Alligator mississippiensis: one gene and its partner. The protein of the gene in region 2 interacts with the protein of the main gene of each other region in a pairwise test. Links are inferred from orthologs where the notes say so. Each region holds a gene or a part of one and is shown on either strand. Other genes may lie near its edges.

What was found.
Region 1: the proteins of LITAF (region 2) and HIP1 interact in binary tests that used the Homo sapiens proteins (3 or more experiments, as listed by UniProt). The link is inferred for Alligator mississippiensis from reciprocal best matches to the Homo sapiens genes LITAF and HIP1.

The regions. Positions count from the first base shown.
Region 1 is NC_081837.1:27,287,477-27,294,985, reverse strand, and holds the start of HIP1 (huntingtin-interacting protein 1), read right to left. Parts: upstream 3,018-7,509; 5' UTR 2,958-3,017; coding exon 2,841-2,957; intron 1-2,840. UniProt on the Homo sapiens protein: Plays a role in clathrin-mediated endocytosis and trafficking. Involved in regulating AMPA receptor trafficking in the central nervous system in an NMDA-dependent manner. Regulates presynaptic nerve terminal activity.
Region 2 is NC_081836.1:39,426,478-39,434,040, forward strand, and holds the start of LITAF (lipopolysaccharide-induced tumor necrosis factor-alpha factor), read right to left. Parts: upstream 3,007-7,563; 5' UTR 2,891-3,006; coding exon 2,743-2,890; intron 1,791-2,742; exon of another isoform or gene 1,677-1,790; intron 1-1,676.

The DNA of each region.
Region 1 (7,509 bases), on a different chromosome or scaffold from region 2:
TCAGGCTGATGAAAATTTATTTTAGTTAGCCTATACTGGGGTGGGCAAAATATAGCCAGCTGGCACGTTCATCTGGCCCACAGCACCCAACGAATTGCATCCTGCCCAGCCTTTCTGCCCACAAGGGTAGAAGTGAGGCACCTATACCCACCCCCAACATATCCTATTATGCTTCGCTCCCACCCTTGCAGGCGGAAGGGCCAGCCCCGCTAGCACAGGGCGGGACTGCTGCTGCAGGCTTCTCCAGTGTTCCGCTCCTTCAGGGCAGCAGGCAGGGACGCTGGGATGCAGGTGGGGCTGCAGCTGGGCAGGAGCACAGAGCATGGGGCTGGCTGCAGTGGAGCCCGTGCCCCTGGGCAGCAGCAGTGAGGAGCTTGGGTGGGCAAGGTGTGGGTGTGAGGGGTATGAGGACCCCTCCCATACTGCCCCCATGATGCACAGCCCTGGCAGGGGGGGGGGGCAGGGCAGCAGCAGGGAAGGGGGCGCTCTGCTCAGCACTGCTGCCTGGCTCTGGCCAGCACTATAAGGAGGCCCCTCCAGGCCATTTATTTCCCCAGCACTCCACACAGTTGCAAGGCACGGGAGGAAAGCCTGAGGTACTGAAGTGGGCTGGGGCAGGGAAAGCATCCAGCTCCATGCTGGAGCTTCACTCCTGTGCCCCGTAAGCGCGGGGAGTACTAGGGAAACAAACGGTCAGGCGAGGGCTGCACTCTTTGCTGCAACATGCAGTGCTGGCCGGAGCCAGGCACCATCACCCCCACCTGCTGCTGCACAATGAGGGGAAGTGTGTGTGGGGGGGGTCCCCACACCCCTCACATCCCACAAAGCACACACATAGACAGATGCATACCCCCACAAGTGTTGCCTGTGTTGACTGCAGAAGACAGTGTATTCCAGAACCTCCCCCCGCCCCCCACGGCAGCCCCCCAGCATACCCTATGCCCCCTCAGACAGCCATACCCCCTCACAAACTCCCCCCCACACACATACCCACACCCCTAAACACCCCCACACCCCCCCATCACCCACACATCCCCATCACCCCCCACCTCCAGCACACCCAATATAAAAGACTAAGAATTTATTTTTGAGTTATTGTGCAGTCACCTCTATATAGAACACACAACCACAAATCACAATGAAAATATTTTTTGTAATAAAATTAAAATAAGTTAAAGTAGGCATTTGACTTTTAGTGTATGATTTGGTTTTTTTCTGGTTCTAAGTTGGCAACCCCCACTTCCAAGAGGAATATTTGCAGGGGGGCAAGGGGAGGGATTTCTGTCAGCGGTTAGGGGTGGAACTTCCGGTCCCAAGATAGAAGTCAAGGGCAGGGCATCTGTCAAGGAGCAGGGCTACTTGACAACTCACCAAACCTCATTAAGCAGCCCTCCACTCAAAATAATTAACTGCCCCTGGTTTATATAGTGCAAATCTACCCTGCCTTCTGCTTGACTTCAGATTAACATGACTAACTCTGTCTCTCCATTAACACAGGTCATCATGACGCATTGAAGAGCCTTGAATATTAAACAGACACTTAAAGCTTATTTGGGAATTGTGCAATAAGTCAATGTAATGATACCAGCATTGATTAACACTAGGGCTATAAACACACTTGTCCTTGAAGTGGGATCAGCTGTGCCAGGATGTGTCCCAGCAGAGCTGATGGGCTTCACTGGGTGACACAGATACCACCCACTGTCCTGCATGGCTGCACCGCTGCTGCTGCTCCTGGGTTCTCCCAGTTAGAGGCCCACCCTGGGAATCCCGTGACAGAGGATGCCCCAGGCACCCATACTGTGTGCAATCATGCTGCTTCACCCTGGCTCAAAGTATGCTGCTGCAAATGGAAGAACTGCACGTTCCCTCATTTGCAGGATGTGTCCTGACTCAGGAACAATGGCACCACACCTGTGCTTGAGGAAGTCCCCTTACCAGATCTCCAGGGTGTGACTTTGCAAGTGAGGAAACCCATTTGCAGAGGTACACCCCAAACCAGGGCACGATTTGCACCCGCAGAATGCCCTGCTGGGAGATTTCCAGGGTGTGCCCCTGAAAGTGAGAGAACCTGGGCAGGCACTTCCAGGGCTTCAGGGGCTCCTAAAGCCTTGGGAACATATGCCCAGTTTGGCTGGAGAGTGCAGGAAGCTCTAGGCCACCCCTACTCTTCCATCACAAAGCAAATGAACATCTGCCACAAAAGAGGCACATTTTAATACATATCACAGCCACGATTTTGGGCAATCGTGATACAACAAGGGGCACAGAAGTCTCCATGCTTGGGCTCTGTGTCACCATGAAAAAGGCTGATACAAAAGCGATGCCTGTTTGCAGCCTAAGAGAACATCCCGGTTTGCACTAGCCCCTGGGCACGCGGGTCTGGAGCTGAACTCCAGAAGGAAACCTCTCCTTTTCAGCGACCACGTGCTTGTGTTTGCACAACCTCTGCAAGTGCGCCCGCAGTGCTGATGTGGGAGACCCACAGCCGCACGGGCGTCCAGCTCCAACCGCCAGAGCAGCCAGCACAGGAGAGGTCCCCGAAGCCAGAAGCCTTCTGCCCTCTCTTCCCAAAGGACCAATAAGATCAGGCTGCTCCAGCTCTGCAAGCACCACCGCGCAGCCCCGGTCTTGAGCCGCCAGCGCCTGCGGCATCAGCCCCTGCTGGAAACCTTCTCCGCAGGCCAGAGCCCGGCCCGGCCCCACTGCTCCCGGCCGGCTGAGCTCGGACCGGGCTCCTCCAGCGCAACACGGGGCGCCGCCTCGGGGCGCCCAGCAGCCAGCGCCTCAGACGGGCATGCCCCGCCCCGCCCCCGCGGCCCCGCCCCAGGCCCCGCTACCTGGCTGCGCTCAAAGCCGTCGCGCTCCACGTCCAGGCCGCTGCCCCCCCCGCGCCGGCCCAGCACCTTGGGCAGCGGATTGGACACCTGCTTTATGGAGCCGCTCACCCGGTCCATGGCCCCGCGCGGCGCCCGCAGCCCCACTCCCGAGACCAGACCAGACCAGACCAGACGAAACGGGCCCGCCCCTCACGCCCGGCTACGCCGCCACGGGCTGACCCGCAGCGGCGGCCATTGGCTCCCACGCCCGCCGCTCAGGTGGTGCCGTTACCCGCCCCCTCTCTCTGATTGGTGCTGGTCAACACGGCTCGGCCCCCATAGCCCCGCAGTCCCGGCGCTTCTTCTGGAGCCCCGCACGCCCTGGTCCGGCTCGCTGGCGCTGTGCTCGCCCCGCCCCGCCCCGCCCGCTCCTCCCTCCCTCCCTGGCGGGGTCCTGAAGCTTACCTCGGTGCTGCGAAGCGGGGCGTGCGCTGCCTCTTTGGCTGTTTCATCGTGTCAAGCTCGGACCCCGTTCAGTGCCGCTCCCTTCACGGAGCCACCACCCCAGGCTGCGCAGCACGGCGCTGTGGGGGCAGCGGTCCTGTCCGTCCCCGGGGCTGCGCTGCTGCTGCAGGCCCCTCGCTTCTAGCCTTGGGATCGCTGCTGCACCCTTGCTAGACTGTGCTATGGGGCCTTCCCAGGAGGCAGCCTCGCCTTCTTAGCATTGTAAATGGCTCGGGTGTCCCAGGCAGTGAGCACGGCACTGGCAGTGCCAAGTCCATCCAGCCCAGTGGTTCATTGCTACTTGGTTGCTGGAGCCTGGCATGCGAGCCAGGGATAGGGATGGAGAAGCTGACCTTGGCCTCCTTGGGACCCATACTCTGGGGATGGAGTAGGCCTGCAGGTTGGAGCAGCTGGGTTGGGAAAGTCTGAGAAGAAATCATCAATGACTTGAGAAGATAAAAGTAAATAAGGCAAGAAGCGGGGTCCTGAAATATGGCTGAATGCTCCTCCGCCAAGCCTGAGGAAAGATCATACTATGACCTTGCAGTCACACACGTTCCTGAGAGTCCGTAGGCCTGCGATCCATTCCCAACTCTTCTGAGGCCTGGCTTTGCCACTCCGACCAAATCACTTGCTCTCTGCTCCATGCTGCAGGTTCCCATCTCTAGAATGAGGAGAGCACCATGAGAACTGTGCAAATTAATTAAAGTGTTTTGAGATACTTTAGAGAAAGGCAAAATATTCTCAACTCATCTGCCCTTCTGTTAGGAATGAGAAGCTCTGCTTTAGACAGAGAGACATGGACACAGACGTGCAGGGACAGGCAGCAAGAGATCAACAGACTTTAATTTAGCCATGCCTGTGCCCTTAGGCCTCTGGCACCTTGACAAAGTGGAAATTAAACAAAATGGTTTTAAATGTATTCTACCCGAGTACACCCTTGGCACAGGAGGGAAGACAGCAGGTCCCACACTCACCCAACGTCCCTGCCCCTATCTGAGGCTTGTACCAAGCATAACACAAATAGGCAGAGTGTATCTGCAACAGAAATAGAAATCAGGAGTGCAGTCTCATCTTGCAGGATAAGAGAGAGACACATGGGTGACTGGTGCCATCTGAGTCGTAGGGTCACCCCCCCAGTGAACAGTCAGCAACCGGGGAGGGTCCCCCCACAGCCAATCTCACCAACCAGGAGGGGAGTGTCCCCCGTGGCCAATCACACTTACCTGAAAGTGGCTGCAAGCACTTCCGGGACCACTGCAGCCACTTCATGCACTGCTTCATTGCAGCTGGCACTTGTAGGGGGGCACTAGCACTCCCGCCTGCCCCCCGCACCTGTTGCCTAAGCGGGGAGTGCAGCCTGACAGGGGTTGCACCAGCGCTCTCGGGGTGCACAACACTTTACATACAGTGGAGCTTCTGCTGACACTGGAGAGTATTCCGTGTATGGTGTCTGCCCGTTTGGATCACAAGAGCCATATAAAGGGCAAAGCCAGCCACCAAGTGATAGACAAGTACCCATTTAGCCACAGAACTTTGAAAACATTTCTCCCAACATGCCTGGGGGGCATGGATGGATCCAGAATTTTGTAAATGGCGGTGTGGGTCCAGCAACCATAGATTCAGGGGTGGATGCACCCCCTACTTCCAGCTTCTCCCCTCCCCAGGATGGGCAGACCATGACATAGAAGCACCACCTGGCACCTTTTTGAAGTCCCTGAATAAGGTAAGAATTTCTTCCACTGCTCTCAACACAACCTCCCTTCCCTTCCACGCTCAGCAGCATCTCCCCTCCCCCCCATTTCCCAATTGGTCACTGTCCTCCTGCACCACTGCAGCTGGGCTGTGCAGGGAGCCAGGCTCAGTGACAGTAGGTGGGTTCCTCTCCTGACCCTGCTCCTGGGTTTGGGTGGATACAGGCAGGAGGAACCCACCTAGTGCTGCTGCTTCCACTGTCTCCAGCTGAGCCCAGCTCCCCACCTAGCTCAGCCTGAGCTGAGCAGAAGCAGCTTTAGAGCACCTTCCCATCCCCACCCCAGGTTAGCCAGAGACAGTGACAATGGAAGGTGGGGAGGAAATATGCCTCTAAGCATGGAGGGGAAGGGGAAGGGAGGGATTCTTACCTAATTCAGGGACTTCACTGGCCACTGTTGTCCCGTTTCTGTGGCAGGTTAGGGTGTTATGCCTTGTGGTTGTGTCAGGGTTGACTATATTGTTTTACAAATAGGTTAAACCAGGGGTTCTCAACCTTTTTTGGACTTGAGGCACCCCACCATGTCTTTTGTGAATTGAGTGGCACCCAGTTTCAAAAATTAATGTATATAGTACAGTGTAAGCACTGCCTTGCAGAAGGGCCTGGCAGTGGGAATGAGGAGTTGTCCAGACAGAGACATGCCTGAGCCTGCATGTATCTGCTTAGTTTATCTGCTTGCTTTCTAACACTGTACTTACTTAAACCAGAGTGCTGGAACACCCTGGGTGCCACCAGATCTTTTAAAGGGTGCCAGGAGTGGTCAGTGACTGAAACACCACAATGACAAGTACAGGTTTTAGACCTAGCATAAGCCTAAATTATGATAGTATATGCTTCAGTTTATATTTTAGCCATAAGCAGTAGCATGGAAAAGTAGACTAAAGTCTGTTGGTCAATGTAAGTAGTATTGGACTAGGTCAGGTACAGATACTTAATTTTGCAAAACACTAATAGTTTCTAGGGGTAATAGCCATAACAACTTGATGTTTTATCTTTTGATTAGAGGAATTTAATTACCAGTATGTGTGGCTAATTAGAATCCTAATTAGAGATGTAAAATTTCTGGAAATTTTGAAGCCATGAGAAAAAACATTTTTTTTCCGGATTATTTTTGGAAAAAAACAGAAATTTGAGGAAAAATTGAAGTATATGCAGTACTTATTTTCTTATCACCCTTTACAGATCTAAATTCACTTTGCTACTTTAAGAACATAAAATGTATTATTTATAACTTGGTTTGCTCATAAAATTATAATTTTTGGTATATTCATTAAATTTAAAAGTATAGTTTATTCAGACAGTAATTACACATTTACTAAATTAATTTACTTTAAAATGTTTTAAATTTTTGTTACAAAAGGAGCTACAAGCTGCTGAACTCTAAGGAACCTAGCATCTCTTAATTTTTGCCAGTTTATGAGAAGCAGGCAAAAATTAAAGTTGAAAATAGAAAAAACCATCAACACCATAGTAAAACAAAAACAGCTATTTTGTATTCTGGACTTAGTCTCCTCCACAGTGTCAAGCAGATACAGAAAGCACTCATTTTTAGAAAAAGAGTAGAGAAAAAAAAAGGAAAAAACAAACCAAGACTCATTGAATACAAATTTTGCTACATGAAACTTAGTCTACCTAGTCTCATTTTTTGAGCTATCACTATCAGCAATTTCTGCTTCTTCTGATCCTTCATTTTTATCATCTTCATGGGCTTCTGAAAACTGAAGGTTTCCCCAGATTGAGACAAGCTTCTCTACTCTTTCACATGTTAGTTTATTTCTTGATTTGGTGTGAGTATTTCCAAACACAGACCAGTTTCTTTCACATGCTGCAGAAGATGGAGGAATCTGAAGCAGGTGAGAAGCAACAGGAGTCGGAGGCTGTGTCATACAGAGGCCTTGCCACCATGTTGCAGGAGGGATATGCTTGGCAGAGTCCCAGACTGTATTCCTAGACCAGATACCTGAAGATGTTCTGTATTCCTCAACATTTGAAAGTAGATTAATAGATTCATAGATTGTTAGGGGCTGGAAGGGACCTCGCAGATCATTGGGTCCAGCCCCCCTGGTCTAGGCAGGAAAACAACTGGGGTCAAGTGACCCCAGTGAGGTGATTGTCCAGTCTCCTTTTAAAAACCTCCAGGGTAGGTGACTGTACCACCTCTGGACAGAGTGTATTCTACACTCTGGATGCCCTGACTGAAGGAGTTTTTCCTGGTATTAAGCCTGAAGTGGCCTTCCGGGAGATTATACCCATTGGTCCTGGTCTTCCCTGGGAGTCTCCTAGTGAACAGTTGTTCACTGAGTTTCTGATGCACTCCTCTGATATAGCAGTAAGCCGCTATCAAGTCCCCTCTCAACCTTTTCTTCCTTAGGCTAAAGAGGCCCAGGTCCCTCAGCTTTTCCTCATATGGCTTGCCTTGCAAATCCTTGATAA
Region 2 (7,563 bases):
ACAAGCAAGGAGCACAGATCCACACAGGAGACTATATTTTGCTGTGCGTCACTCCCACGATGCACTGCACATGGCAGCTGACTGTGCATTTGCACAACACCAGTCACATAAGAATGAATTTGCCTCGCATGTAACAAATTGTTGGTATAAAAAGGATAGTCTCATAAGAGCAAATTTGCACATACAGAAGCCACATAAAGTGAAGGAAACCTATATCTTTTATCAGAACTAGGGCAGGCACTGCTTGGAGTGAAAAAGTAGAAGAAATAAAACTCACCTGTATACTTGGTAAGGAAAAGAATCAAGAGAATGATCTAAAAAATACAAAGTATTTTCCTAGTATGAAGTGAATCTCAAATCCATCGGGGTGGGGGGGAATGGTTGCCCCCTCCTCTTGACCTCTGAATGTCTGACCTGCCCTTCTCTGTTTTGGTTTCAACTACTCAGGCTCTTGTTCACTAGTGAGTCCTGCGCTAGTCACCCGAACATGCACATGGCTTATGTACGTGGCCCTCCCCACAGTGCAGCACAGACGTATCTAGGTGTCATCATTGTCATTAGTGACACTTACGAAAACACAGACATAAACTAGTCTTTCCCTCTGACACCAGACTATATATACTGGTTTGTCAGGGCACCCAAAATTTTTCAGTAGAAGAGCAACAAACTAATAAACACTTGTACAGATAAAGTTTTTCATGTTCTGAACAATAAGGCTTTCCATAACTTGTCAACTACTTAGTTAAACAGAATCCTTTTCAGGCAGTTGCTATTGGGCATGTGTGCACGACACTTTAAAGCAAGTTAAATGCTTTTGCACCGCTTTAATGGCATTGGTGTTTGCACACATCAGTGGCGTATTGTGCGTTAATTCCAGCTGCTGTAGCACATTTCGTGGCGTAATATACCTTAAATGACTTTGGGGCGCAGCAAACTAACACCTCCAAGGAGTTTTAGTTTGCTGCCCTACAGCCATGGAGCGAAGCACCAGGCTCCGTGCGGCTCAGGGGCTGTGCAGGCAGTTCGTGTAAGCAGCCAGGCAGCAGCCCAGAAAGACAGGCTCCACCGAAGAAAAAAAAGAAAAGAAAAGCGGTAAGCCTGATTCCCCACACCCTCCCAGAGAGCCTGCACGGGGACTTGATCCTTCCCTCCACGGCTGCAGTGACCCCCGGGACCACCTGAGCCCGGTGCCTCCTGGAGGGGGTCCACCACTGCTGTGGAGGGAAGCACCAACACCCCCCCTTGCAGCCCAGGGACCACTCTGCCTGCCAGCAGCTTGCCCTCCCACTGGGAGGCCAGCATTTTATTTTTAGGATTTTTTTTAATTTAGAGGATTTCACGAACAATGCCCAATTTCACAGGTTCCATGAAATTGTGAATTTGAGTAGGTCTCTGGGTGTGGCGATGCCCTTCAAAAGCAGGATCCTATATAGCGTCCTACTGAAGAAGTTTTATGACTGGCATAACTGGAATTCTGCTCTGGCTTTGGGTATTGGTTTCAAACATTGCAGGTTATGATGTTATTTGAGAAGCAATAAATGGAATAATTTAAAGAATTCTGTAAGCTTAGATACAGGAACAACAGCACTGTGCATTTTAAAAATAAAAATATATCAGTTATTTGATTTCTATTATTGAGCTTCCTATCTCAAAACTTCCTCTTAAAAATATCTTACTTGCTTATTAAAATGTTATCTGATGAAACTTGTGCTTCTGGCCCCGCGTTTTTGCACTTGTAATACAACCAGGTACGTACACGACCTAGTCACTTTTGCTTCTTTTTGAGCTTGTGTCCACTGAGTCGCTTGGAAAAGTGAAGTTGAATTAACTGAAGGTGTGACCTTAAAGCCTGTTAATTAAAGTTCATTAAACCTGAGCACCAAATTCCCCTATTGTTTAGATGGTAAAAGTCTGCCTTTTTCCTCCTAAAAACCCAGACTTGAACTTGACTTTGGCACACCGTCAGTCTACATCGGGCTCCCTCCCAGTCTTGACTTTTGAACTTCCAGTAGTTTTTGTACATGCAATAAAAATACCAAGTCACATTTTTTTTCAATGTTCACTTTAGTATTTTTAGTGCCTTTCCCCCTTTGGGTCCTTGCCTTGGTGACTCACTTCTGAACTGGGCTGTTTAAGGGCCAATTGCAGGCCAAGGTTTTTCTCTGGAATTAGAGCCAACTATGGGGGGGCGAGGGGGGGCTTTTTCCTTAAAAAACGCCCAAGGAGCCGCAGGGTCACTTCGTCCCGAGCAGCCGAACTAAGCCCAAGTGAGCGGCGCCCGCTTCCCTCCTGGGCGAGCCCGGCGCCGGGCCGACGCGCGTCCAAGGCTTCCCGGGGGAGCCCGGCGCCCCCAGCCCGCTTTAAACCATGTCCGGGGCCCCACGCAGGCGGCAGCTCGGAGTTAGCGATAAGGACCGCAAGGGAAAACAACCGCCCGACATGTGACTCGGCTCAGGAAGCGGGGCTACGAGCGGGGGAGGCGTCGGGCGGCCCAGCTCCGAGGGGCGGGCGGCGAGCGGGTGGCGGGGCTCGGCGCAGGCAGCGACCCCGGCCCGGGGGGAGGCGCCGCGGGGGGCTCGGCGCTGTCACTGCGGGGCCACCTCCGCCGCCTGCCAGCCCGGAGCCCCGCGCCGAGGAGCCGGCGGCCGCGGGCAGCGCCCCCCCCCGACGGCAGCCCGAGACACCGGCCTGGCCCCGGCCCCGGCCCGCGGGAGGCCCTGGGCGGCGCCGCGCCGCGCCTACCTGCCGGGCTCGCGGCTCCCACCGTCTCTCCCCGGCTCCCACGAAGCTGCCGCAGCCCAAGGCCGGCCCGGCTCCGCCTCGCCTCGCCCCTTCCTGCCCGGCCCCCTCCCCCGGCGGCGGGATCCACCGGCGCGGGGGGGAAGTTCATAACCCGGCCCGGGGGGACAGCCGGACCCGACCCCCCGCCACGGCTCAGGGCCGAGGCTTGGCCAGTGCCCTGCCGCCCGCCCCGTCTCCGCGGGCTCGGGGCGGCCCGGCCTCCGCTGCGCTGCGCTCCCCTCCGCCGAGGCCGGCGCTGGTCCGCCGCGGCGCGCAGCGCAGCTTCCCCCGGGCCGGGGCCGGCACAGGGCGCGCTCGTCCTTCGGGGCGGCCCCGCGGGCCGGGGCTGGAGACGGGCGGGAAGGCTCCCCGCGGGGCTGGAAGCCAGCGGCTGCAACTAAACCCCGGTCACGAACAGTAGTAGTCAAACCCCCCCCGCTGGGGAACCGGCCCGCCACGAGGCTCCAGGCAGCAGCCACGCTCCTCTCGGCACCTCTCCCTCTAACCCAGGACGGAAAAGCGAGCCTGGGGCAGCGGGGCGGGAAGGGCCCTCCAGGGCTCCGCTAGTCCAACCCGCTGCCTGAGGCAGGAGCATTCTTGTCCCTATCCAAACCGTCCCCTACAACTCACAATCTAAGCTAGGGGGGAGGAGGTATTTCTGCTGTGGGGCCACTCATGAGTCTTGGTGACCCGTTGAGGGCCGCATCCCTCTCTCTGTGTCTCGCTCTTCTCTCCTAATCCCTCTCTCTCCCTCCCTCCAGATCCTCGTGTGAGCTGTAGTTTGCCAGGAGCCCCAGTGCCCAGCTGTAGGCCCAGATGGGGACTTCTGCCATGGTGGGCAGGCAGGCTGTGGACACTGCTTTCAGATTCAAGAGCCCTGATGCAGAACCTGCCGGCAGCAGCCACAGCTGACACCACCGCCAACCCAGTGCCACTGAAGCTGCTACCTGGGTCCACAGCTGCTACTGGCAGCAGGTTCCTGGTTGGGGCTCAAGGCAGGAGCTTCTACTGTGCTGGGAAGGTGGCAGCATCAGCTGTGCATCCACCAGCAGGTTCTCAGTTGGGGCTCCTGAACCTGCCGGTGGTGTCCACAGTTGATGCTGCTGCCCACCTGCTGCGGTAGAAGGCCTCACCTGAGTCCACAGCTGATGCTGCTGGGCAGAAACAGTGCCACCCGCCCACCTGGAACCACAGCAGCTGGAGCCACCAGCTGCAGGCCAGATCCACTGAGTTTGGTGGCCTGCCAAGTATGTTGACAGGCTAGATCCAGCCCACAGGCCATATTTTGTCCACCCCTGATATAAACTTTATTTAAGACTACCATCAACAAAGACACAGCACAGACCTAACACCGTAACCTGTGCCACAGGTAAAGCAGGGGATCCATGGTAGCCAGTGTCTTACTTCTATGGAATGTCATTTTATGCTCAAGAGATCCCAAGGAGAAAGCCGTGCCGCCCTGCTACAGAGGAAGGCCAACCTCTCCCCCTTGGGCAGGTTATCAGGGCGAAGCTGGATTTGTGCCCAGGCTCCTGGAACAGCCACCCAAACATACCAAACTGACCATGGTGTAAAATTCCTTCCTGACCCCAACTAGACTGGTCTGACCCTGACTGGAGGAACTTAAGGCTGGAGGGACTTAAATATTGCAGTGCATAAAGGTTGAGCTTCTTGCTCCTGGAGTTCAATACACTGCTCTGGATAAAGTACCTATACAGGCGGTCCTCAGACTTACAACACAATTGGTTCCTGAAAGCCGCATCTTAAGTCGAAACGTTGCAACTCGGAACCGATTTTCCCATAGGAAACAATGTTATAAATGGGGAATTGGTTCCTGAACCAAGGCCCAGTACCCTATTTTCACCAAAAATAACCCAGAATTTTGTACTCAGTCAATTATAGATGAGTAATATAGCTACATTAATATATTTATATTGTAAATAGCATTCATATTGATTTGGAAGGACTTTTTTGAGGTGACTGCTGGACTTTTTAAAGGGCTCTTGGTTGGACTTTTTGAAGGGTTCTGGAGTCTTGACAGGAGTCTTGGCTGCAGGTTTTTCTGGAGTCTTGTCTGCTGTCTTAAAGAAAGTATCCAAGTAAGTTTGGACAGATGTTCTCCAGGGAGATGGGCGGCACAGCAAATCTGTTCACTGGCATGGCGTCAGGTCAGATCAAGTGTTGTAAAGTCGAAACGGACGTCAAAAAGTTGAAACGGTGTCAATCTATTAACGTTATAAGTGTGAAACGTAACTCAAAATGTTGTAAGTCGAGGACTGCCTGTACAGTGCCCGAGAACTGCACCTCAGTATGGGATTCACAATAGGCAGCATGCTGCATGGGGAGGCATGAAACCAGCCCCCAGGAGTCCTGGAGACAGCAGAGTAGTTTACTTTCCATCCCTTCACAGGGTTTTAGGCTTTTCCTTCTGGCTGCAGGAGGATGCACCCATTACTTCTAGTCAGGGTTCAGATTACACTTTGACTGGGGGGGGTCTGCGAAAAAAATTAAACTGGTTCATTGGAAGGAGCAATCCAATTGGAGACCCCCCCAGGTTATGATTTTCAAATCGTACAGGGGGGCTCTTGTCTCTTATGGGGAGTGTCTGCCTCCTCCTCCCCTCCCCAAGCTCCCCCGTAATTTGCACCCAACTTCTAACGTTGCCAATTCAGTGATTTTTGTCAGTAGATCTAGTGACTCTGGGGGCTTCTAATGACAACATATTGTCAATGCAACGAAGCATACTGAGGAGCATGCATTTGTTTACCACGTGTAATATTTCACCATCTACATTTTTACTGATTTTACTATCTACAGATTTCAAGCAACTTGTTTAGCTTATTCTGGTGAATTTGCAATTTTAATTCACAGCACTGATCATATCTGAATTCAAAGCCGGGAAGCTTCTGCTGGGCTTAAGTGTGAGCCACACCCCAGAAATGTACAGGCAGTCCTCAGCTGATAACGTTTTGAGTTACAACATTTTGCACTTACAACATTTATAAATTGACACCCTGTTTCAACTTTACAACACCAATTTTGACTTGCAACGCTTGATCCAATGCAATGCCATGCCAACGAACAACTTCGCGGCTTCACTCATCTCCCTGGAGAACATCTGTCCAAACTTCCTTGGACACTTTCTTTAAGAAAGCAGACGAGACTCCAGAAAAACCTGCAGCCAAGACTCCTGAGAAGACTCCAGCCAAGAACCCTTCAAAAAGTCCAACCAAGAGCCCTTTAAAGAGTCCAGCAAAGTCACCTCAAGGAAGTCCTTCCAAATCATTATGATTGTTATTTACAATATAAATATATTAATGTAGCTACATTACTCATCTATAATTGATCGAATACAAAATTCTAGGGTATTTTTGGTGAAAATAGGGTACTGGGCCTTGGTTCAGGAACCAATCCCCCATTTATAACATAGTTTCTTATGAGAAAATTGGTTACTAGTTCCAACGTTTCGACTTAAGACACGGTTTTCAGGAACCAATTGTGTCGTAAGTCTGAGGACTGCCTGTATAAGGTATGTAGGTGTTCCTGGCAAACCCTAGCTGATGTATCCAAGTTAGCTACCTCCACATCTCATTTGGACACTGCTGTGCCAAATAACACTTGTTGCACCTCCTTTGCAACTGTCATTCGGGGATTAGGCTCCAGGTCTCCCTGGTGAGTATACTTATCACAAGTCTAGTGTCATGCTCCCTTTTTCTTCCCTTTCTAGCTAATGAAGCTTTAATTCTTTTCTGCACATTGGCATCGCTTCAGGAAAAGGAATGCCCAACTGCCTATGGCCTGGTAAAACAGGCCTGAGACATGGGTTATGGGGATTCTCCTGGGACATAGGGATTGAACCCTTTCAGCTAGGAAGGGTTTTAAATCTGACTGCACCACTTCTCTAAGGAGTGCTCCAAACATCACTACTTTTATCTATACTGTAAAAGAAAGGTATCTGCAACTTCAGTTGTTGGTTAGCAGCCAAATCTTACAGGTGTGCTCTGAGATCAAGTCCTCCGGGGGCCAATGTGGAGGAATACCTAGTTTCTGGATCACACCCAGATTTAGATGTGACTTAGGCTCAGCCCTGTCTGAAGTGGGTGCAGTCATACACGGAGATCACAATCTTGGAGCTGGTCTTGAGTTAACTGCATGAAACATTCATACAAATGCATCCTGGAGCCAGGTTTAGAATTTAGTAAGAGTAAAGTTACATTCAAAATGGCAACAGGACTTCTAATAGTATGCTTTGCAGTTGCATTATTCTGCTGAGTTCCCTGCAGTTCTGTTCTCCAAGGCTTTGTGTTCAAATAATCTCAAATCAAGCACAATTAGATCTGGTGAGTACTTGATGAGAACCCACAAAAAAAACAAATCTGCTTTCCTGCAGGTAAATGATTCAATACTCCCCATTCTTTCCTATCATCCAGGACTGAACCTCATTATGAAACCTGAGAATACTACACTGCTCTTTCAGATGAGACAAACAGACATCTTGATTATGGTTTGTTATTGGAAGGAAGATCTTATGATATCATGACACTTTTCCCTCTCCAAGAACTGAACAGGATTTTCTTAACCAATGTGTCCTGATTTAGCTACAGCTGGGTTAAGTATATTATTTGATCCCGCATCTCAGCTGGATATCAATAGTCCAGACCACCTGGCATGTTTTTAGAAAATAGGTATTTCTGAGATCTTATCCTGCTCTAAATTGTTACAGTGGTGTGTATTTCACTGAAGGGAACACTGAAGTTTTTCTTGCTTATAGAGTTCAGACAA